Linked DNA regions of Bombyx mori. The protein of the gene in region 3 interacts with the protein of the main gene of each other region in a pairwise test. Links are inferred from orthologs where the notes say so. Each region holds a gene or a part of one and is shown on either strand. Other genes may lie near its edges. The genes, in order: COPB, COPA and COPB2.

Evidence for each region.
Region 1: the proteins of COPB2 (region 3) and COPB interact in a two-hybrid assay, tested with the Homo sapiens proteins (2 studies listed by BioGRID, with this or other methods). The link is inferred for Bombyx mori from reciprocal best matches to the Homo sapiens genes COPB2 and COPB1.
Region 2: the proteins of COPB2 (region 3) and COPA interact in a two-hybrid assay, tested with the Homo sapiens proteins (2 studies listed by BioGRID, with this or other methods). The link is inferred for Bombyx mori from reciprocal best matches to the Homo sapiens genes COPB2 and COPA.

Annotation. Positions count from the first base shown.
Region 1 is NC_085119.1:977,281-985,173, forward strand, and holds the end of COPB (coatomer protein complex subunit beta), read right to left. Parts: intron 7,340-7,893; coding exon 7,199-7,339; intron 6,596-7,198; coding exon 6,446-6,595; intron 6,380-6,445; coding exon 6,291-6,379; intron 6,219-6,290; coding exon 6,025-6,218; intron 5,956-6,024; coding exon 5,756-5,955; intron 5,485-5,755; coding exon 5,352-5,484; intron 5,148-5,351; coding exon 5,001-5,147; intron 4,598-5,000; coding exon 4,436-4,597; intron 4,162-4,435; coding exon 4,016-4,161; intron 3,871-4,015; coding exon 3,781-3,870; intron 3,448-3,780; coding exon 3,295-3,447; intron 2,673-3,294; coding exon 2,586-2,672; 3' UTR 2,513-2,585; downstream 1-2,512. UniProt on the Homo sapiens protein: The coatomer is a cytosolic protein complex that binds to dilysine motifs and reversibly associates with Golgi non-clathrin-coated vesicles, which further mediate biosynthetic protein transport from the ER, via the Golgi up to the trans Golgi network.
Region 2 is NC_085132.1:3,506,530-3,514,851, forward strand, and holds the start of COPA (coatomer protein complex subunit alpha), read right to left. Parts: upstream 5,765-8,322; 5' UTR 5,654-5,764; coding exon 5,426-5,653; intron 3,539-5,425; coding exon 3,422-3,538; intron 2,954-3,421; coding exon 2,717-2,953; intron 2,172-2,716; coding exon 2,019-2,171; intron 1,238-2,018; coding exon 1,074-1,237; intron 363-1,073; coding exon 225-362; intron 1-224. Other genes in the region: exosome complex component CSL4, read left to right, coding at 7,935-8,105. UniProt on the Homo sapiens protein: The coatomer is a cytosolic protein complex that binds to dilysine motifs and reversibly associates with Golgi non-clathrin-coated vesicles, which further mediate biosynthetic protein transport from the ER, via the Golgi up to the trans Golgi network.
Region 3 is NC_085107.1:19,810,233-19,818,773, forward strand, and holds the start of COPB2 (coatomer protein complex subunit beta 2), read right to left. Parts: upstream 4,370-8,541; 5' UTR 4,240-4,369; coding exon 4,237-4,239; intron 4,051-4,236; exon of another isoform or gene 4,036-4,050; coding exon of another isoform or gene 4,024-4,035; coding exon 3,865-4,023; intron 343-3,864; coding exon 150-342; intron 1-149. UniProt on the Homo sapiens protein: The coatomer is a cytosolic protein complex that binds to dilysine motifs and reversibly associates with Golgi non-clathrin-coated vesicles, which further mediate biosynthetic protein transport from the ER, via the Golgi up to the trans Golgi network.

The DNA.
Region 1 (7,893 bases), on a different chromosome or scaffold from region 3:
TTTTTGAAACATGCGAAATTCACAAAATATCATTTGTACACTTCCAGCATACTTGAAATAAGATACTACTGTATACTAAGACTACTGGTGGTAGGACCTCTTGTGAGTCCGCGCGGGTAGGTACCACCGTCCTGCCTATTTCTGCCGTGAAGCAGTAATGCGTTTCGGTTTGTAGGGCGAGGCAGCCGTTGTAACTATACTGAGATCTTAGAACTTATATCTCAAGGTGGGTGGCGCATTTACGTTGTAGATGTCCATGGGCTCCAGTAACCACTTAACACCAGGTGGGCTGTGAGCTCGTCCACCCATTTAAGGAAAAAAAAGAGTAGTAGGAAGTAATAGGAGTAGTAGGTCTAGTACTTTATCGCAGTAAAAAATTATGTACGTATTTGTTACAAAACTACATTTTCGTGGCCCAGACATTGCCGTTGTCCATCCCCTTCTGTCATTTTTGATCTTACGATATAAATTGTTTTAAGGTTTATATTAAATAGTAAATGTTGAATTTGTTCCACAGAAATCGGACGCGCCACTGATGGGGCCCTCGACGCGGGCCGGTCGCGTCCTACAGTTTTGTAACCAATCCATTAACTTATTGCTATTATAATATGAACAAAATATTTTTATTATTTATACTTTTCCACGAAACGTCGTTAACAGCCTATGACGATACAATAAACTAATTTATTTCATAATTTGAATTTGTTTTAATCAACCCCAATTCCCCGACTTTGGTTATTTTACTTGCGTGAACAAATTTTCATTGTGGCTATGTACAAAAGTGTCGGGTGCCGTGCTAAGAGCCCCGTCATCTTTACTTTATAAATATATAGATCTACAGTGGTTTTTACGGATGTTCCGTTATAACTACTGAACCGTACATCCGATTGACTTGAAACTTGGTATCCATGTAGAAAATACACGTATCTACTTAATGGATAGGCTAATATTTAAATGAGTGTTGGACTCCCTAAAAATAATGACAATAAATAATAATGTTAATTTTAAATGCGCAGCGAAGCGGGCGAGTACGGCTAGAGTATTATAATTGGTCGCTCTGGTACGGTTGCATAAACCCTATTTTTTATTATGGTTCGATCTAACTAATATTTTGTAGCTATTCAAACAACGTGGACGGGAAGGTAAGCTCACGGGCTTAACCTGAAAGAATTGCTAAGACTAGCCCTAGCAAGAGCCGTGCTTCGCAGAATCTACCACCTGATCGGAATGGCGACCCACTGAGAAGATCCGGCGAGAAACTCAGTGTGTTAAAGCCCTCTGTATTCGAAGTAATATTTTTTTAATGGTGTGACCAATTTAGAATCCAAAAATACCTTAAAGTAAGTGGCCGACAGGAGAGGAAGAAAGATAAAACAAAAATTACTATACAGTTATATTTAGACTCAAACTAGCCGCTGCCCGCATCTTCGCCCGCGTGGTCGAGCAAAAGTGGCGGTGTAGTTTCCCGTGGGAATGAGATATTTTTTTTAGGATAAAAGATGTCCTATGCACGCTTGTAACACCTAATACTATCACTTTTTTTATTGCCCTTGTAGGCAGCCGACCATACAGCCAACCTGGTGGTGAGTGATTACCGTCGCCCATGGACTTCAGCAATGCCAGGTGCAGAGCCAGACCGCTGCCTACCGCAAAATCATAATGATCAATCAATCAAAAATCAAAATTATGTCAATGATTACTTCGTTTCTTTGTGAAAGAAGGACAAACAAACGAACATGCCTTCACATTTACATATTAGTATAGATATTTGTTTTTTTAGGAACATAAATGTGTTAGAGCGACTTATGGTTCGAATTTATTTCAATTTTTATTTAATTTATTTCTAAGTTGCATTATAATCGACAAGATGCGGAAAATCCCGACAAATATATTTTTAATAAATTAACTAATATGTAGATTCAAAAGTTTTTCTATAATTCCGCAACATAAACTATTGTTTTATTACAATATTTTCATTACAACTTTAAATCGTGTAAGAAATAATTTCTAGCGCTCTTCTTGTCTCTGTACATCTCTTTATTCTTGCTAGCATGATAGCACTGTTGTGGTCCCAACCACGTATCGGGAGGAGGGTTTACATTTTTTTTATTGCTTAGGTGGGTGAACGAACTCACAGCCCACCTGGTGTTAAGTGGTTACTGGAACCCATGGACATCTACAACGTAAATGCGCCACCCATCTTGAGATATAAGTTCTAAGGTCTCAGTATCGTTCCAATAATAAGATATGAATAGGACTTCACTATCACTATCATCACTACATAGTATGAAACAAAGTCGCTTTCTCTGTCCCTATATCTCTATGTATGCTTAAATCTTTAAGACTACGCAATGGATTTTGATGCGGTTTATTTTTAAAGGTAGAGTGATTGAAGAGGAAGGCTTATATGTATAATAACATCCATTAAGTGGTAGAAAAATCAATAATAAATTACAGTTCCCGAAGCGAATCTAGGGCGGGTCGCTAGTTAATAAATAAAAACGTCATGAAATAAAGATAATGTTTATAATTTTTATAATAACGAAAGTAAGGTAGGACGTCGGCGGTGGTCACATCAGCGGCGCTCAGGCGGCCGGCGTGGGGTCCGCGGGCTTCTGGTGGGAAGCCTTCTGCATCATGTTGATCTTGTCGCCCAGACTCAGCGCCATGCCCTGCCGACACACGCGCGGCTCAACCAGCGGCCCGGGGGCAACGCCCTCGCTACCGGCCCGACATACAGACGGTCCCTTACCGAACGCCATTGTTCTTTTTGGCGTAACTTAGCAATTTAGGCGGGAAGTAATTACAAATTAGTTCTAACTAAGTTTTTTTTATGATTCACAAAGGGTTGTGTAAAATTTTCGAAAAAGAAGAAAAATCCTAAATTGGTGCACGTGTCGCCCTCCGCCCCCCATAGTTAGCTGCGTCTGGGAGCGAGGGCACGTGTCGCCCTCCGCTCCCCGTAGTTACCTACATCTGGGCACGGGGGCACGTGTCGCCCTCCGCTCCCCGTAGTTACCTACATCTGGGCGCGGGGGCACGTGTCGCCCTCCGCTCCCCGTAGTTACCTACATCTGGGCGCGGGGGCACGTGTCGCCCTCCGCTCCCCGTAGTTACCTACATCTGGGCGCGGGGGCACGTGTCGCCCTCCGCTCCCCGTAGTTACCTACATCTGGGCGCGGGGGCACGTGTCGCCCTCCGCTCCCCGTAGTTACCTACATCTGGGCGCGGGGGCACGTGTCGCCCTCCACCCCCTGTAATTACCTAAGTCTGGGCGCGGGGGCACGTAGTTACCTGTGTCTTGGCCCGGATGCGCACGTGTCCGAGCACGGGCGCGCCGGGCTTGTGCAGCGGCCGCTCGATACTGAGGTTGGCGAGCGCGTCCTCGCCGAAGATGGACCGCGCGTATAGGTTGGCCGCCATGAACCCGCACTGCCCCGACAGCGCCTACCAGACACAACACAATTTTAATTTCAAAATTTTATGTGACAATTTGACGGTCCAGTCCACATTCCACCTTGCACGAAACATTATCAATGAATTGCTGTTTAGTCTCGTGTTTATTTCACTTTTTTTTAATATCACCTTTCAAGTTATCAGTAGATTAGATCGATCTGTATCAATACCACAGACTGCGTGGGTAAAATTTAATGACTTTAAACTAATTTGTAATTTTTTTTCAAATCACTGTTAATTTATTGGTACCTTATTTTAGCTTATTGTATCTACCACAGTCCTCAAGTATATATTTGTTTGAAGTCACTTAAGGAGGGGGGTTACCTTCTCGGGGGTCAGGCACTTCATGTTGGTGGAGGCGAGCAGATGCTGCAGGTACTCGTGCAAGTCCGTCATGTTGGTGTTCACGGAGACCTGCGGACAGTGGCTGGACGTTACAAACAGAACACAGAGCTCGGAACCAAAGATTAGTTTTTTGTTAAAACAACCGATAGTTTTGCGTCCTCAAGCTACTTTGGTAACCAAGTCGTTCCGCGACCGGCTCCGAGCCGAGACGTACCTTGTTCTCCCATTCGAATTCAGCCCACATTTGCCTGAAGTCGGCGTCGCTGCAGTGCGCCGGCTGGATGAAGTCGACAATGTCAATGTGGATGTCATTCAGCACGACCACGCCGCGGTCCATGGACGCTCCCGTCACTTCGTATACTGAAAATTTAATATTTTTACTTGCTTCGGCGTGTAGAGTGTATATGACACACAGGTTAGTTATGCCTAAGTTGGCAGACGCTGGCGCTTACCCGGGTGAGCTTACAACACTATAACCCATACTAAGGACAGTGGGATTCGTGAATTATGCAAATAGATAATATAATCCTACGCCCTGCGTCTGAAGTGCACTACTACTCCTTAACGTATTCACAAAACAATACGAATACTCTTCCTTTCCTTAAGTTAATGTTCAATGACCCCGCGCACGTACCCACGTTCCCGAAGATGACGCCATTCTCCGTGGAGGCGACCTTGACGTGCGCCCGCAGCGAGGCGAAGTCCCGCGGCGCCAGCACCACCTCGGCCGCGCGCTCCACCAGGCGCAGCTCGCCCAGCGTGGCCAGCTCCACGCAGCAGTTCTGCAGCGTGTCGTCTGCGGACCACGCACACTACCCGCTACTGCTTGTCGTACATTGCATCGCAGTTGTAAACAACGGAACTGCAGTAGGCTCGAAGGACCAACTTTTATGCATGAGCTTATCAGCGATTCATTGAACGATAATAATATGACAGCAAGGTGTTCGTAAGGCCCGGCAAATTATAAAAGCCTATATTTATTATAATAAAAAAAAATTAAAAACTTACATTTATGCGCAATGTATTTTCCCATGCAAACTTATACATTTTTGAGCATAAACTTGACTAGTTTTAATAAAATTTCTAACAACACTGGAGTTGCAAAAACATTTTTTTCAAATTAGTGGGAAAATGTTGGAAGATAGCGGCAAGAACGATATATAATAAAGTTTTGGTTTATTAATAAAGGAGTCTCATACCGGTCTGGTTGACGAGCAGCACGTCCAGCACGATGTCGTACTGGTTGACGGAGACGATGGCTTCCGCGTACACGGGGTCGGAACATCCTGTCAACTGGCGCACGCGGCACAACTTGCCGCGGTCGATTGCCTCGCCACCGCTGCGACCTGACAACAATCACTTTAAATCGTATCGAACTGGAAGAGGGTCGCCAACCAGTCGCGGCTGCGTGCCAGGGGAAGAACAGTGCAGAATCACTGAGGACCGTGGTGTTCATGGCGGACGAAATAATCTTATCAAATACACATTTTGAAGAGCACATCATGAAGTCGACAAACTCTGCGACTCAGCCGTTAGTCCTGTGGGAGTACCTTGCAGCGCCTTGTTGAGCGCCAGCTCGAACATGTCGTGCTGCGAGCCGGAGGCGCCGGCGCCGGCCAGCTGCGAGAACGTGATGCCCGTCTCGATCTCCACCTTCTGCTCCTGCCGTTTCGGTTCACGCTCCTGCCGTGGCCGATATTACGTCTTATTAACTGATGTCTTTAAGCGTTAACATAAATCACATTTTACACAACTAAGTGAGACAAACGTAAGATGAGATTTCACTAGAAGAAAATTTAGATTATATTTGTGCATATGTGTTCTTGATTCGTTTAAAATTTTCTTTGGGTTTAATAGGATGAAGGAGTACAGGAATGTTCTCTTTGCTTTTGCAGATCGGTAACACATGCGAGATAAGGGCCAGATTATCAGTTACGTGGAGCCTGGGCTGTACCTTGTCGACGTCCTCCAGCAGGTGCGGCTCGCGGTCCGGGAGCGCCAGCAGCGCCGCCAGCGCCGCGTCCGACGCGTCCAGCAGCGCGCGCCGCACGTCCGCGCCGCCCGCCCCGCCCCCCAGCCCCGCGCCCGCCAGCCCCGCCTGCACGCACAGCGCCGCGTGCTCCATGTCGTCCGCCGTCAGCCCGCCGCGCTGCCCTGCGCGACAACACGACGGTGAGCGCTCGCCCGGCCCCCCCCACAGCACCGGTGTGGGCGAGGACTCACCTGCGTTCTGCTTGTGGCGCGCCAGCAGGACGGCGGCCAGGTGCAGCGCGCGGGCCGCCTCCTGCCGCGGCAGCTTCAGGGCCAGCTTGGCCAGCGCCGAGCACGCGCACACCGCCGTGAAGCTCTCGCCCTCCAGCAGTGCGCCGCCCAGTCTCGCACCGCCCTCCGCCGCGCCGCCCTCCGCCGCACCCGACCTGCACGCACACGGCACTAGGAACACAATCATTACACTACAAATAACAAGTATGGGCCGTCGCGGCACTCACGCGGGCAGGTTGAAGGCGGACTGCGTGGCGTAGGTGCCGTCGCTGGTGACGAGGCGGCGCGGCGCCGCGGCCGGCCCGCTCTCCGGCTGCTACAAGCACACAGAGATGAGTCGGGTCCGCTTGTGGCGCTGTGGTGGCGGGTGTGACGTCACTACCTGCGTGTCGGCGGCGCCCTCGATGACGTCGGCGAGCACGTGCAGCGCGGCGCGCGCGCGGCCCGGCGTGTCGGCGAACTGCGCGAGCAGCCACAGCGCGGCGCGGGCCGGCCTGCCCACGCGCACGCTGCGCACGGACTCCACCAGTTTCTGCGACACGAGGCGCGCTGTAGTGTGTGCTGTCTCGGCATCACAACGTTATGATATCTTGGATCGACTAATATAAACAAATACATTTTGCAGAACTATTGAACCTATAACCGCTGCGTTCATCCAGTGCGTTTCCAGAGATATTTTTTGCCACGTGCCATCCGGCAACGAGCTCCCCTCCACGGTGCTTCCCGAGCGCTATGACATGTCCTTCTTCAAACGAAACTTGCGGAAAGTATTTAACGGTAGGCAGCGGCCTGGACTTCGAAGACATGAATCCCAGTGTACTTACTACACAGGACCATTCATAGAATATGGTCTGTATCTAGAACTAACCGAAAGCTGTATTCTCCCATCACACTACTCGCCACCTAGTACCCCGTGGCCAGTGGTCATGTTTTACCAAGCCATGTAGGTGCAATTGTTTTCGATGGGTATTTTTCTATTAAAACAATATCTAAAGTCAAAACGACTCTTCCTCCTCGTGGGGTCACCGACCCATCTACAAACCCAAGGACCCAAATACAACAAAATGGGTGAACAAAATATAAGGCGAAGAGCCGTAGTGCTCGTCCAGTTGAGCAGTACGGGGCGGGGAGTAACCTGGTAGATGTGGTCCCTGAGGTCGGGGAAGGCGTGCAGCGCGTGGCGCAGGAACAGCAGCACGTCGTGCGCCGCCGCCTCGCTGCCCTCGCCCAGCAGCTCCAGCAGCGCCGGCGCCACGCTGCCAGCCACCTCCGGGAACTGCGGGACGCAACGGACTTACGCAGCACGCCCACCACTACCCAGCTTTATGACACAATGTTATTCCGTCACAGTTCAGTCATTCGTGAACATGAGATAACTACGTACTTCATTAGACATATGTGTACTTGTCTGTGGGATTCGAACTCCGGCAAAGTCACATGAATCAGAACTAAAGAGCAAAATGAAATTAATTGAATTAAAGTGAAACTTTTATTATATCGTCTCAAACTTTTTCGTCTGTGTGTTGCATGTCGCGTGACGGTCAGCCGCGGAGTAGGGAGAAAGTGCAAGGCGCTCGTCAGAGCAGCCAAGGCCAATATGGCGGCGCCTATAGTTCGCAGCAGCTGACCGTGTAGTATATAACTATTACTGATTTGTGCCAGTGCTCCACGCTATTTTGTTTGTTTTTGTCAGTGTTTAATGTAAATTTTGTTAGTCAGAGTAAAATGTCTATAATGTGAAAAAAGTTTCACTTTTACTGTGGTTTCATAAAACCACACAATCCTTTTTTTCTGCGACGCACTTGTATTAAATAATATTTACGAATGAAG
Region 2 (8,322 bases), on a different chromosome or scaffold from region 3:
CCCTGCCTATTTCTGCCGTGAAGCAGTAATGCGTTTCGGTTTGAGGTGGCTGGGGCTGCCGTTGTAACTATACTTGAGACCTTAGAACTTTACTTTTCAAGGTGAGTGGCGCATTTACGTTGTAGATGTCTATGGGCTCCAGTAACCACTTAACACCAGGTGGGCTGTGAGCCCGTCCACCCATCTAAGCAATAAAAAAAAGTATCAAGATTACACTCTTGTACCTGTTTTTAATGTAGAACAGCATATTGTTGTGAACTGCATACGCTGGACGCTCACGTTGCAGCTTGAAGAGTACCATCCCACCGTCGTGTCCCGCCGCGAACAAGTTCAGCGTGGGGTGGGACGTCAACACCCAGTACCTGTCAAATTGACACTGTTTGTACAATTTCCAATGTACAATATCCACCAAATGCCTATATAGAGAGTGCTCCAATATTTTGGTCATATAGCAAGAAAACCCTCTGACAACCTGGAGAGACTCATAGTGACGGGTAAAGTAGATGGAAGACGATCCTGAGGTCGGAGCCGAAAAATATGGAGTGACCAAGTGTCCGAGCATCTGAACATGAGACTGAGCCACGCACTTCACTGTGCCACTGACTGACAAAAGTGGCTACAAATTACAAAAAAAGGTCACAGGCGGGCGCATCACGATGCTCAGCAATGACCGATCGAAGGAGGAGGTACAATATCAATACTTTTCGAAAAAATGCCGCACCCATTTTTTTCAATGTCCATTTCTAACATAAGGTTATGTGGTTACCGCAACCCATAGACATGGAGATCGAAGACGCAATTGTATTTTACTAACGGCTGTCCCCCCTCTTCCTCCCTCTGCCAAAACCTATTACGCCATAAAAATAAATTTTGTTTGTTACCCCTGTAAAGTTTTTAAGAAAATTCCAATTTCCAATCCAATTTTTTAGGAAATTCCAATTTTCGAAAATCAGGTCTAATTATTAAGATTCGGAAACCCATACGTTAACAGTTGAAATTTCTAAAAAATATCCCGTTTACGACCTGAAGAGAAAGAAGATCAAACCAGCTTCACGATAAAATAATTCGTTTACCTCTCGTGTTCCCTTCTAAAGGACTGCAGGAGGGTCCTTTTAGACATGTCCCAAACTCTGATATAAAGATCCTCGCTGTTAGATATGATGAGTTCGTGTTTCGCGTGAAACAAAACACAGGAGACATTGTTGTAGTGGCCGCGACATGTATCCACTTCCCAGGCCTGGAAAAGTGGCATATAATTCAAGTTGTAAACTCTGAGTACATCATTGCATGTGGGGAACCACTGAGGTGTTTGGTGAGGGTGGTTTACTTCTAGGAAGTGGTGGTATATCATTGGCAAAGTGATCTTGAGAGGTAATTTTGTGGATAGCAGCTAGTCTCGGCATTCAGTACTCAACTTCAAGTTTATTAGAAATTTAGTATAAACATATTGGACATTATTATATGAATTGTAGAAATAGTTTTTTTTTCTATGCTATTCTATCAGCCCATGGATGTCCACTGCTGGACATAGGCCTCCCCCAAGCCTCGCCACAAAGACTGGTCTTGCGCTGCATGAAATAGTTTATCATTTATTATTATGAAATAATTAAAATAAATAAGGTTTTCAGACAGATAGCTTTTAAATATTTTAATCGGACTCAGACAGAATGCTTTGTCACTTTCCTGCAAATCGATTTTCGCTAATTTGTTAGGCGGCTATAAACTATGACGTCATTATTCCAGATGATATAATGAAGCTTATAATTTCCGTATTCTTGAACAGACTGACTTTGTTTATATTTAATTTTTTTTTCTCCATCTTATCCCACTAGGTGGGGTTGGCATGGCACTTTGTTTATATTTAATAATTTTCCTAAATTAAAATAATTTCTTTATTTAATTTGGTTCATTAATCTAGTAGTTATTAAAGAGATGTACATATGCTTATTTATTAATAAGGTATTTGTCAGACATTATTGGTGACAATGACCTTCATAAACTATACACTAAAGCCTTACCTTAGAATCATTCATTCTCCAAAGCTTCACTTGTCTGTCATCTGCAGCAGATGCGATCAATGGTAAAGTAGGATGAAAACAGGCCCAGTTTACACCCCTATCGTGGCCCTCCAAGACGTGCTTCACAACAGCATCAGCCTGCATGTACAGTTGCTTTAGCAACGGAACCGCAGGGATTTTGATTAATAAAAATAATTAATTAAATAAAATAAAAAATCATAATAACAAATAGCTGTTTTTTGTTTGAATGAGATGAACAGAAAATATATTTACAAAGAATGATTGGATGATTGTGTATGGAGGTTTGGATCAAATAAAAAGGATGTATTTGGATCGTTTTGGGATGTTAGTACAAGTAGATATTCAATAGATACTGGTTAAAAGTAAATAATTACAATAAAACAAACAAAATATAATTAATACATATTTACAAATCAATAATATATGCTGGGTATATATTTTTCATTTTCAAAGAATTATTTTAACTCACCAAAATCCCAATAAAGATAATTTAAAAACATTATTCAGTACATAGTCGACACATAGTGTCATGCTGTGATTAAAGAAAATTAAACATATGGACATCTTGTAGATTAACCCTAACTTCGGGATCACCATTACTTCCTCGGATATTTTGAATGCATAGCCATAATCCCTGATGAAAGCAGTGACACCAATTGACCAACCACTAGCGTTACCTGTCCAAAAAGATCTGTTGCTTGTGGATTCCTTAAGTGTTCAGTCAGTCCAGCAGGTCCTGGAGCAACACTCTTTTTTCTCAGTCCAGAGAAATCCCAGACTCTTACAGACTGGTCTAATGAAGCAGAAACAAGAAGATCTTCAGTGGGATGGAATTGAGCACACATTACATAATGGTTGTGGCCGGTGAGAACACTTATGCATTGTCGAGACTGCCAATTCCAAATTCTTATGGTCTGAAATAAAGCAATAAATTGATTTTTTTAGGCTACTAAATAGACAGCACAATGTTTTAAAATTACATAACATAATCACAATAATATACATGAGATTAAACTACAAAAGTTAATTTTTTTTTATTACCTCTACAAATACTACTGATGCACTAATGCAACAAAAGTAATTTGATAGCTGTTAATAATTTTGTATGCAGCCCATGATCTGGTTACCTACAATGGTGGATTATTGTATTGTATGTACATATTTGAATATCTTCTAGTAAATAAAAATGAATATATTATTTATTATACAAATTACACTTAATTCATTCATTAATTAAGTAGCAAGTTCATTAGTTTCATCGTAAAAATTATGATGCCTAAATAATTTAGTTGCAAAAAAATGTACAATCTATTTAGTAAAATTTAGCCTGTTTATGAAATGCTTACTTAAACAGATATGCTTTAAACAATGAATTTAGTTACCTGATCATCAGATGCACTTAAAATCCATGGGTATTCATGATGGAAGAATGTTGTACGTATATAATCCAAGTGACCAAGCAATGTGAATAGACATCTTCTTTGTTTGTAGTTCCAGACCTGATAAAAAAAAATTGTGTTAATATCATAATCAAATTCAAATTCAAATTCAAAATCATTTATTTCAACTTAGATGTCAGTATGACACACTTGTTGAATGTCAAAATACAAATAACAATGTTAACTCTACCACCAGTTCCAAAAAAAGCCACAGTCCTGAGAAAAACCGGCGAAACAAACTCAGCGGGCTTTTTTTTTTGTTTTTTCTCAAATATTTTCTTTTTTTTTAAATAAATAGAAATATTCACAATAAAAGAAAAAACAAGTCAAAAAAATACAATAAAAATAATAATATTAATAATGAAAAATGAAAAGGCCAGGAGCGAGCGCCTCATTCCCACGTAGTGCCATCTAGTAAATAATCCTTAACTTTATAATATGCCTTGTTGCACAAACATTCCTTAACAGTTTTCTTAAATCTATGAACAGGTAGTAGTTGAACGTTTAGTGGGATCTTGTTGAAAAGAAATCAAAAGCCATTACAAAATAGTCAAACCATTCCGGCTAAAGCTTAGCTTTTTAAGGTTTAAATGTATTTAAAAAACCTTTTGTGAATTATGAAAAGTAAATTGAGATGTAAATAAAACCTTTATAGTTATATATACTGCAAGTATGGCTTCCTTGAAAGTCTCAGCATTATTAATTTTTTTCAAACACAATATATAATACAAATTTAAATGATTTCAATTATTTTCAATTCCATAGCTCTACACTACATAGTCTTACAGGTGCTAAAACACATCATTAAAGTGCATGATTATATACAACTGACTATTTTTGGGACAGACCAGTTATGCGTTCTGACACAACAGTAAAACAGCCTTTACAATAATTTAATTGATACTTCAAACTCATATTCTACCGTAAGTGATGCATGTTTTAACATCTATGCTTCTAATACTCTAGTATCCTATGTAGATGTAGTCACTACAAAAAATGTTTGCTGTGAGTTATTTTAAAACACATAATAAAAAATAAATAAAGTAGAATTTAGTTAGTAAAAGAATGAAATCTTTAATGACAAAAATATTTTAATTGTTGTGTAATTATGTGCAATTACTTTTATTTTAGACTACAACCTTTTCAAACTACTTCAAGTACTTCTCCATGGTGTACTTATTTATTTATTTATGCAAACAATAAACACATCCAACAATTCAAATCCACTCAACGAAACCCTATCTCAGATCTTAATAATGAATGGCAATAGCTTATCCACTGTAATAATAACCTCGGCTTATTTTCCAACCTAAATCTTTCTCTAATTCCTATTTTCAGTATTTATGAAGAGTTGCAAGCTCACATGAGATGAGATAATATGGTACCACTCTCCCATCTACTGCTACCTTTTTCATTTATTTATTCTTTATTAGAGCCACACACCTATTAGGTGAAGTCGGCTTACTGCTAGTTTAAATTCTTAAAATTTGTTTTTACCAAAAATATTCCACATAATTCTAATAAAATAGAAACTTTGGTTCTAGTATATAAATATAGGCAGTGAGTAGCATTCACATTGTGTTCAAACTTCAATAAACGCATTATACAGTACTAGCTTTAGAAGGGCATTTTTGTTGCATGCATTTGGACAAAATACTTGAAATTATAAAAACCTAAGTTTTGTTAACGAATCAGTTCTTTATCAAAACAAAAATGGTTAAAATTTGTAATATCAGTGCTTTAAATTTTGAAACTAAACAAAATAACATTGTCTTAATCTTAGCTTACTTATAAAATTATTAAAATCTAAAAACATTTCGCCTTCGCAAAGATGCACAAAACCAAACATTCCATGCCCGGAATACGTGTCAAAAGCATGACAGATTAATATCAACAATAATTGTAATTATACTAGCAAAAGAACTAACGGCATATTAGGGCTTATACCTTAATCTTGTAGTCATCTCCGCCCGACACGAAAAGAGGCTGTTGAATATGGAAGCAAATTCCACGTACTGGACCATCATGTTCATCAAATTTCTCAAGTAATGTACACATACGATAATCCCAAAGTTGAATCACACCATTGTGCAAACTAGCCAGCACCCATGGTCGCTTAGCATGAAACGATATGCCTTTCACCCGCGCAGACTTCGTCTCGAATTTTTTTAACATTTTGATTCAAACACCGCTGAAATAATACGAAAAACTACAAAAATTAAAACAAGCGCAATGACAGCCAACCGGCTGACGTGACACGTCCAACACAGAATAGTGCTGAGCTTGTAATTGATCAAAATTGAAAATATCGACAAATCTGAACAAAACTATCGATGTTAATTTGATCAAATCATTAACTAATTTTGAATGGAAACGAATAAACACACCAATTAAAATCACATATTTCGTATCTTCTTAATGGTTGTAATCATCAGTATAATTAGCGTTATTAAAAAACTTTGAGAGTCGGGTAGCCTGGTTGAGTTAAATTTATCTTTCCTGATGAATCAATGGTTAGCTTTTTTATTTATTGCTTAGATGAGTGGAGGAGCTTACAGCCCACCTGGTGTTAAGTGGTTACTGGAGCCCATAGACATCTACAACGTAAATGCGCCATCCATTTTGAGATATAAGTTCTAAGGTCTCAAGTATAGTTACAACGGCTGCCCCACCCTTCAATCCGAAACGCATTACTGCTTCACGGCAGAACTAATGCTGGTACCTACCCGCGCGGACTCACAAGAGACCCTACCACCAGTAATTACGCAAATTATAATTTTGCGGGTTTGATTTTTATTACACGATGTTATACCTCCACCTTGGGAGTCAATCGTGAACATTTGTTGAGTACGTATTTCATTAGTAAAATTGGTACCCGCCTGGGATTCGAAACACCGGTGCATCGCTCAACACGAATGCACCGGATGTCTTATCCTATAAGCCAAGACGATGTTAGCTGTGAGTGTTTTGAGTTAATAATATAAATAAGGTTCAAAAATCATTTATTTCAACTTAGATGTCAGTATAACATAGATTTTCACGAACCATATCGTAGCACTAACAATAATCAGTAATTAATTATGTAGATAAAATATATTATTATGGCTAGTAAGATTTTACGAAAATAAGTGAGAATATTTTGCATCATCCAAGTCGATTATGATATTTTAGTAGATGAAATAATAGAGGAAAAACAAATACTGGTGGTAGTGGTGGTGGTACCCTCTTCCTTACTAACGTTTTTTCCGTGGTAGGGAGACGAGCACACGTTCCACCTGGTAAGTAGTCAAAGTAGTAAAGTGGAAAGCCAGCAACGCCATTGCTTACTGCAACAATATTTTTTAATTATTTAGACGAGTGAGAGACGAGACAAAGTCCAGGCCCATCTGGTATTAAGTGGTCACTAGAGCCCATAGACATTTTTTGATTCAATTTTTCCTTATTAGGAAAGGCAAGGGGATCTAAACCCATACAGCCTTGTGTGTTGTATATAATTTCTAAAATGAATTTTCAAAAAAGCCGAAGCCAGGTCTTATATGATTTATATTATATCCTGAAATAAAAAAATCATTAAGGCAGAAGCCAAGTCCTTTATAATTTCTTTCTGAAATAAAACCCAGAGACATCGTAACCTTAATGCCACTATCGATCCCTAGATATGAGTTTTAAGTCTCAGTATTAAAGTACAACAGCTGCCCCATCCTTCATACAGAAATGCATTACTGCTTCGTGACAGAATAATTGAATAGGCAGAGTACTGGTATTTGCTTGTGCTGGCTCACACCACCAATGAATGATCTACAGTAAATCCACATTAGTTCCAGTAGTACCAGTCGACAACGCAAATATTTTTATTATTCTTGGTTTACAAGGTCCTCGCACCTAAGGGGCACGTGGAGAAAAGCTTACCTGAGATCAAAATGTAAATAGCCCAACGTGGGTCTCGAATGACGACTCTGAGATTATGAGTCTCATGCTCTGACTGAGTTATCCGGGATTTTACAAAGGGAATGTCACATCTCAACAATTTAAATAAAAATTGATTTCGTTGCGTTGTACGTTTCATGGAAGAAATGTCACCCTCTATTACGAAATGATTAAGCTCTATAAACTTTGTTTCTTTTACTTAATTAATCAAAGAACGAACAAAAAAACATTTGCACTTTTGTATAATCTATGATTTCACTACGCGATTAAAAAAAAGATCATAACCATAGATTATACACCTAATTTATTTGAGAATCTTATCTTCGCTAGAAGTAATAGTGTTCTGTGATCTTAACTTATGTACATAACAAATAACAAACTGTAACTGGAATTAATAAACAACACAGTTCAACACACTATTATAAGACAGTTTACAATTAAAGACACGTTTTAGCTGTGACGAAAATAATCTAACCGAACTTTAAGTTGTAGTTCAAGTTAAATTGTAAATTCTAACCTCTACTACATTATGAATTTGGAAGAAAAAATAAAAGAAATAGGTTCAATATGTATTCCTGGAATGCGACTGAGTTTATCAAACAAAGACAACGTATCAGGGCCGGGAACCTATGAATTGAAAGGATATATTTATGCGGCTTTAGCTGGAATCTTGAAAACAGAAGAGGATGAAAACACCAAAGTAAATAACGTTACAGTCTTTGTATAAGCTGCCACTGATTGCTAAAACGATTTTATTGCAACCGTCATCCGTGCCTCTTTAATTGTGACTTAAAATGCCCATAAATATGCTCTGCAAAACACTACATTACCATGGACGAAGATAGGTACTGTAGCTTAACAGGTATATCATATGGAATTTACTGCCTGTAGAAGACACTTATGGACACTCGGTTTTA
Region 3 (8,541 bases):
ATAAAACCCAAGGTTTTGTAGACTTCATCGGACAAACATACTTATATATTATTAAGCTAAATAAAATAAATCAAACCAAGTAAAACAGAATTTGTGATTGTTTTTATGCAAATTGTAGACAAGTACATCTATTTCTTTCAAGTACTCACCACTGCAAGTCAATATGTACGGTTGTGTGGGATGAACGGCTATGCATCGCACATAATCCGAATGTGCTTCAAATGAGTGAACCCTCTCCAGGGTGTTGTAGTTGAATACACGTATCTGCATGTCATCTGAGCCAGTTATCACCCAGTTCTTCCGGGGAACAAACTTTGCTGATCTCACCGGGAGATCACATACCTGTTTAAAATAAAACGAATTATTATAAAATTTACTATGTATTGTAATTGGAGGCATTTTGGTTTACTTACAGAATGATGTTTACTCTAATTTAATTTATACGGAGAGTATAAAGCACAGAATTCATTTGAAAATACAAAAAAAAATGTATTCTTAGAAACATGATTTTCAATCACGTTATTTTTTAAGTAATTACTGATGAAGATTAAAACATAGAACAGTAGTTATCCCATGGCAATTGTACTCTGCAATACTCCAACATCATATTTCAAGGTTGAAGACAGTGTATAGGCTCAATCTCTTGACAACCCTCTAATACAGTCAATCAATCAATTGATGGACAGTATATTGATATGTATTGATAGTACAATGAACATATGCACCAAATATTTGCTTTAATAAAAGTCATATGATCAATTCATTTAAATAAGGTATCTATCTGACTTTAATTATTAAATATCCAATAGTGTCATAGAATTCAACTCAATTGTACAATTGTTGTGTGTATGTGTTTTGCTACAAAATGCTTGGTTATTTTAGGTAAAAGTACTGGAAAACAAAGCACTCTCAAGTATTACAAATGAGCAGCCATTTATGTTCGTATCATTAAGAAAATAAAAACAAAAACACAATTTCTCATCTTTATTAAAGATTACTGGAAAATCAAATTATCCGATGAATGCTTAAGCAATGAATGAGATAACATTGACAGTAGAACAATGTTAAATACAGCTGTTGTCCCTATCATTAACAATATAAAAACTTTGCCACATACAAGGAGTCTATTCTTGGACACACTTTAAAGCTACTTAAGTAGCAATTACTGAATAGATGTGTATCAATTTTCTGGTAAAATATATTATAAGCCTGTATGAATAGGTACCGCTGTTCCCATTTTTACTGATTGGAAGTCATGTGATTCAATTTAAATGGAGACTTCGCATAGTTATTGGGAGCGTTCACCTGGTGATGTCTATGGACTCTGTTAACTAATTTTGTCTTAGTGGACTGTGACCTCATTGTGTGACCATCTACGCAATAAAAAAGATATGCTAAGAACAAAGTTGACTGTAGGTAAACATTAACTATTAAATTATGTGAACCTTTCATAACACATTCAGAGAGTATAATGTAACTGAGTTTCAGTTCACTGACTCAAATGCTTTTATTGGCATAAATCAATATGCTATCAATTAATTAATGGTGTTTTGAAATTTGTTGTTACTTATGATTCTCTATTGCTATAATCTTAGATAGCTATAATCTAAGAATCAAAGCTTATATGCTAAAAAGCATGTTTATGTGCAAGTTTTCCATGATTTATTTCATAATATTACATATTTAATAATGATGGATTTCTTTCAATTCAATGAGTACTTTCAATGGTGAAACTGTCATCATTCAGGTTCATAATTAATAGTAGTTGGAACCGATTCTAATATATATGATTAATCTATAATTCATCCATCATGACAAATAATGAATATTCTTGATATCTTTTATTAGAAAACTATTTAATTTTACTTCAGTTTTTTTTTGTGTCGCTGCTGCTATTGTTGAACAGTTTTACGTTTAATTTTTGTGCAAGAACCAAACTACAGAGGAGCTGAAATGAAGTTATAATCATCAAAACCTAAATGAGATGCCTCTGGTAATAATTTCAAGAGATACAAGTGTTCTGATGTTCAAATATCACAGGCAAGTATGAATTTTTGTCGAGCTATTAATATTTATCACTTCCATGAGGGAATATCATCACTATTAATATCAGGTGGGGAGTCAATGAGACCTACTCAGATTAGTGGTGACTATCCCAAAATATTAAATGTCTTCATTGAGGCTCAAATACAGCATCAACCATAATATTACCTTACTTGGACCAATATTCATTACCTTCTTGGTACAGAGAATGCACTCTTCAAGCAGTACCTTTTGCAACCTAAGCTGAAAGCATCTTGGGTGTACTAGTTATCAAATCATATCAACAGGGCTTTTGCATGCAGTTTCGTACTGTTGACCAGAGAAAATATAAATACTTTAGATGTAAATTCACTGTGGAGGTTTTTGATGGCAGAGCTTAATACAATGTACATCTTAATCTGGGAAAACTAACAATTTCTGTCAGGCTAATGAATATTTTGGCCTTGAGTGGCTATATATTCCAGATTATTTTTGAGCTATGAGAAAATAATAATATTGAGTAACAAAGATCCATAGTCATAAATTAATGTAATTACTTACTACTACTAGTGGTAGTATACTGTAGGTCCATCCAAGTAACTGTCACCATTCTACCTATTTCTACAGCAAAGCAAATATGGATTCTCTTTCGAAAGGCAGAACATTTATTACAATTGACCTCACTCATGGTGGACGGAATTGTGAACTACACTGGTTGTCTATTACTATTAGAGCAGTATTTCTGAATACTCTTATCTGACACAAGGCAGGAATAAACTCCAGTCTAAACAGTGAGTAACTATTTTGAAACAAGTGAGAAACATTAATAGCCAAAACCATCCAGGACAATAAAAATTATACTAGTCAGAAAAAAAGAGGTGCATGGCTAATTTAAATCATTCAAGTGTGAATCACTACATACTTTAGAAGAAATTTTATAATGGTAATTAAATAATTTAATTTTCATTACAAAGAACATTCCATTAGATATATCTTATTCACATTTTAGAATTTAACTGACTATTTTTTATATAATTTTGCATATATTTAGAACATATTATTATTATCTCTAACAAACAGTCATAGCTTTTAAAATAAATAAATTCCATGTAATATTTTTATTTCAGTCACTGTTTAACAGATAAAACTTAATTGTTTTGTAATGTAAAGATAACAGAGAAATATATATTTATTATCAGGTTACTTAGGGAAAATATTTTTAACACATTAAGTTTGAATAAGAAATCAGTTTCATAGAAACAGGAGTCCAGATTACGTTCAGAATAGTAAATAATTATGTTTTTATTGTTTGTTTATGGTGAATTTCTTATTTATTGTATTATTCAAGGAAATTGCACAAAAATATGTTGTGATTATGAATAAAGATCATATTTACATAAAATACCTTACAAAATAAATTATAAGTTTTAACTTCGCGTCTTTCAAGACTTGCAATGTGGTGAATGAAATCATGATAAGGACCCTTCATTTGTTTTATAAATGAAATATTATAATATTGATTATCTATGGGAGGAAATTAAATTGGCTATAGCCATATATTGTAGATCAAAGTTCTATGTAATTATCTTAAATTAGAGCTAGCTTAGCAGTGAGTGGCAGTAAAATTATAAAATTTTACAGACACAGATACTTTTTAATACACTTTTCTTAGAAGTACTAGAAGATTAAATCGGCTACAGTTTCATTTCGCATTTAATGTTTAAGTACTATGGTTTCAAAACAGTACAGTTGTTTTCGAAAATAAGCTACGAATTTGAGTTTTGTAAAATTATTTTGAAACCAAAATACTATATTGTATTAATATATTGTACATAAACTGACCTCAAATCTCTTAATTTGAGCGTGAGTCTCATAATTCCATATGTTAACGTCTCCTGAATACAGGGAGCAGAGCAGCCAGGGTTCCGACGGGTGCTGGTCGACGCATTTCACTCGGTCCGACCGCGCCGTCAGCTTCCTCTTGATATCCAGACGCAGAGGCTTCAGAAACATAGCGATACCACGTTATAAATGCACTCAACACATGAAACTACCCTTAATTACAAATGAATTTTTGCATCGCGCAAGTGCCGACATTACAAAGATGACAAAGTGATGACGACTGCGCATTACGTGGCTTTAACTTTTTCGAAAATCTTGTCTTTGGAATATCGATCACTTAAACGCATTTCAGTGTAAAAATTGTTTTCTTACCATTTTTAATGGTTAAAACATGAAAATCGTCATGCAGATTTACAGGACCAGTAGATGTTTGACAGGGTGGGTGGACGTGTCACTTTAGATTTATTCAAAACCGGTTTTATCGGATACGCGAAATTATTACGATTTAGCGGTTAAGTACGGCTTTCGCATCCCAACGAGACATTTTAAGCCATACGAAATTAAAAATTGCAAAGAATAAAATTTTATCTACAAAACTGAAAATAAAATGTAATAAAAAGTTTAATACTACAAAATCTATGTTTCTATGTTTGTTTTTTTTTTTATAACATCTTCATCACAGATCAGTAATATGACCTCCATTTTCTTTCTAGATTTTAATAGTTCAACAAGAAACGTCTGTTTCTAGTGAAATTAATATTAATTACATTTAACTAAATTTTGAAATTGAGAGGTTATTATCTTCTTTTTTAGAAGGTAAATTTATACTCATAAATTACGTAACGTAAATAAGAATAATTGCTAAACAATAAAAATAATCATACTATTCGCCGTCCACTCCTTACCAAAGCATAAAATAATAGTCGTGATAACATTCTTTCGGATGTTCTGGTTTGGAAAATAAGTACGTGAATTTGGTCATTTTACTTCCTGTTACATTATCTCCCCATAAAAACAGTTTAAAGGAAAATTCTCTCATATGGGTTTTTACTCTTCCAGTACAAAATTGTTCAAAATAGAAGGAAGATTGCTTCCTAACAATGGCCAAAAAATTTCAGGAACGCAGTTTCCAAACAGATTGAGATTGGTTATAGAAATTAATGAAAAAGTTATGAGAAGTCGTAAATCATAAAGATATAAATATTATGTATGGTTATTATAGTACCTAAGAGAAAAAAAAATACGTTTGTTATGAAATCTATATTTTAAAAATCGCATATTATTAATAATAATAAAACCTTTGCCTTTCCTTTTTAATTTAGAAGTTGTGCTACAGTAACGCCATTTTTAAATGACTTCATTTGACAAACACAATCGTGGACTGAATTAATAAATTTAATACAAAGTAAATACTCTGCTTCCATGGTGGCACCTTCTTCGTGCCGTCCCTCTTACTGGTGTTAGCGCGTATCATGACCACGAGTTTAAAATACTTTTGTCTCATAGCTCATGTTGGGCACCGGGTTCACATAAATAAGGCACCTATTAGGACATTCTGGTGGTAGGACGTCTTATGAGTTCGCACGGGTAGGCACCACCACCTTGTCTATTTCTGCCGTGAAGCAGTAATGCGTTTCGGTTTGAAGGGTGGGGCAGCCGTTGTACTTTTAAAGTGAGACCTTACAACTCATGTCCCAAGGTGGGTTGCACGTGGGGGCATTTACGTTGTAACATCTAGGGGCTCCGGCCACCACTTAAAATCAGTTGGGCCGTGAGCTCGTTCACCCAACGAAGCAATAAATAAAAATTCAAACGCTACGCTAACGTCAATGGGTTGCAGATATCACTAACAATGTCCTATCCATTAGCCTGTTTGTATTTATACCGCGCAGAGATGAGCGCCGATTATAGTAGAGCGGTGCTGTCTTGAGACTAAAAATTTTCCACTGAATTTCTCGTCGATCTTCTCAGTGGGTCGCGTTTCCGATCCGGTAGCAGATTCTCCGAAGCACTGCTCTTGCTAGGACTAGTGTTAGCAACAATTCCGGTTGGAACCCCGTGAGCGCTCACCTACACGTCAAGGAGAAGCTAAAATAGCCTCTCAAGGCTATCATAAGAAAAAAAAGACTAAAAACTAATACATATAGCACGGTAAGCAATAAAAGGAAAACGTGTAAAATAGACGTAGTGGGGAAAATGTTGTGGAGTGCACGATGCTACACGCGTGTAAAACTGACCCTATGATTTACAAAATTATATCATAACAATTATATTATCTATGTTTGGGCGTGAAACAGGCCACAAAATGATAATAAAATGAAATAACACACAAATGAAACTAGTTGTTTGTATTTCATATTTATATAATTATCTAAAAATATGAATAAACATCATTTTAGTTTTCAACTAATTTAAGTAATGAAAGCATGGAAACATATTTTTGGCTAAACTATACACCACAGAGCCCCAAGTCTTGTAATATTTGGCATATTTATACATTTGAATAGGCTTTTTGAGACATTCACCAACAGTTCATTATAATATTGAACATTATGTTCCTTTAATAATCCAGTCTTTTTATTTTTCAAAGTTTATACATTTTCTGAATTGGGTCTTTGGGTATGTGAACTTATGTTTAGCATAGCATTATTTCTCAACCTTCCATGATAACTAAGTTTGTCATGTAATTCCACATGTTTAAAGAAAAAACAATAATTTAATGAAAACATGTTGTACTTTATATATTAAGTATATGTGGACTTATAGAGCCCGTCATTTTCATGTTAGTAATTATTTTACACAATGTTACCAAAGTCAAAAAAAATAGACAGTACCATAATACAAACTTACGTTCTAAGATTTCTTATAAAAGGTTAATAATTACTCTGAAAAAAATGTAATGAAATCGTTACAAATTAGAAATATTATTTTATTTTAATGTCATATCTATTTAGTAGTAATGCACAGTAAGCAACTTCTTTTAATATACTTTTATTCTAAATTGGTCAATTATTTAGTGTATTATAAATAACTATTAGGTGGCAATTAACAGGATGTATTGACTTTTTATTATTTTTATCCTGTTTAAGAACAAATTAGTGAAGATTTCAAATTTTATCTATTACGTTTCTTCAGTCTTCATAGCACATAATTATAAGGTTAATAGTTTGATAGTTTATTAAGTTGCCAAGATTTTATTGAACAACCTATTATATGAAAACTATATATAATTTAAATGACAATGTATGTTAATTCGATAATAATCTTTAACCCACTTTTTCAATGTTCATTGATACTGGAAAGAAATATGACAAAATAAGTACAACTAGACTCTGTCAACACTTCTTCAACAATGATAGATTCAGACCAGACATTAGTCGACTTTGTGGTAAGTGGTGGTGGTGGAAGGTGAATCTAAAATGTTAAAGTTGTTCAGGTCTACATATATACGATAGTAATGTATAAAAAAATAATTACAGAGCCAGCACAGTGACCCAAAACAAGTGATCGCATATAATCAGTAATGAATCCACCACATTTTGAGAATCACTATTTTCTCAAAATTGTTATTCAATAACTAACAAATGTAGAATCTTTTATTTTCTGACTATGCTGCGCGACATATGTATTCATGACATACATTGCCAAGAGATTTATCAACAGCACTGAAATAATAGCCACAATAGTAAGGCGTCTAAGCAACCAACCAATACACAATTTACTAATTACAAAAAGATGTACAAAAAAGTTGCTAATTTAAATTGACTATTTACATTGTTTAAATTTATTTAATATATTATGAACTTAAATAAAGCACCATTACAAAAAAAGTCACAATGCAGGGGTATCGTTTTTAAATTAATTAAAAAGTAAAAATGTAACTATATTTATATAAAACTAACTATCGCAAATTATGTACGAAATAGCATTTTCCTTGCTTGAAACTTTACAAATTTAATGACAAAAAAAATCTACAAAATCGGAAAGAGAGATCAGCTACTAGTAGAAACACTTCCCAGTCTCATACGCCAATGGTTTACAATGAAATTATCATTACTATTATTAACTGAATCTTATGTGTATAATAATTATGGGTATTAACATTATTAAAATATCAAAGCATCGCAAAAGTATATAAAAGTTCAAGAAGAAAATTGGAATGTAGAACATAGAAATATTTACATTTTTCGTACAACTTAAACACAGACTTTGGTCACATTTGTTGCGACATCACGCGCCGAACATTCCTAATTGAAAAAATATATATTTTACTTTTAAATCAATTCTCATTCAATTTCATTCAATTCTATTTCATTATCAACTACTATCAAATTCTCAAAGTTTAATTATGTTTCAATTGCGAATCATATTTATTTGTGTGTTAGTGTTCTAATTTCGTTTCAAATATTATTAAATTAAAATAGGACAGACTGTGGCAACTTACATTACTATTACTTCCATTAGATCAATATCTTCACAGTTGAATGAACAACTGATTGGATTGGAAGATCATATTATTATTAGTGTTTCTTGGAACATTAAGTAAAGTATGGTAAGCCGCAAGTTGAACCCTTTTATTGGTTAGCTAATTGATTATAGCTCATTGATCATATTTGATCATAGCGAAATTACCCTTATAGGTACTTAATAATAAAAAACAATATTGTTTTATTACTT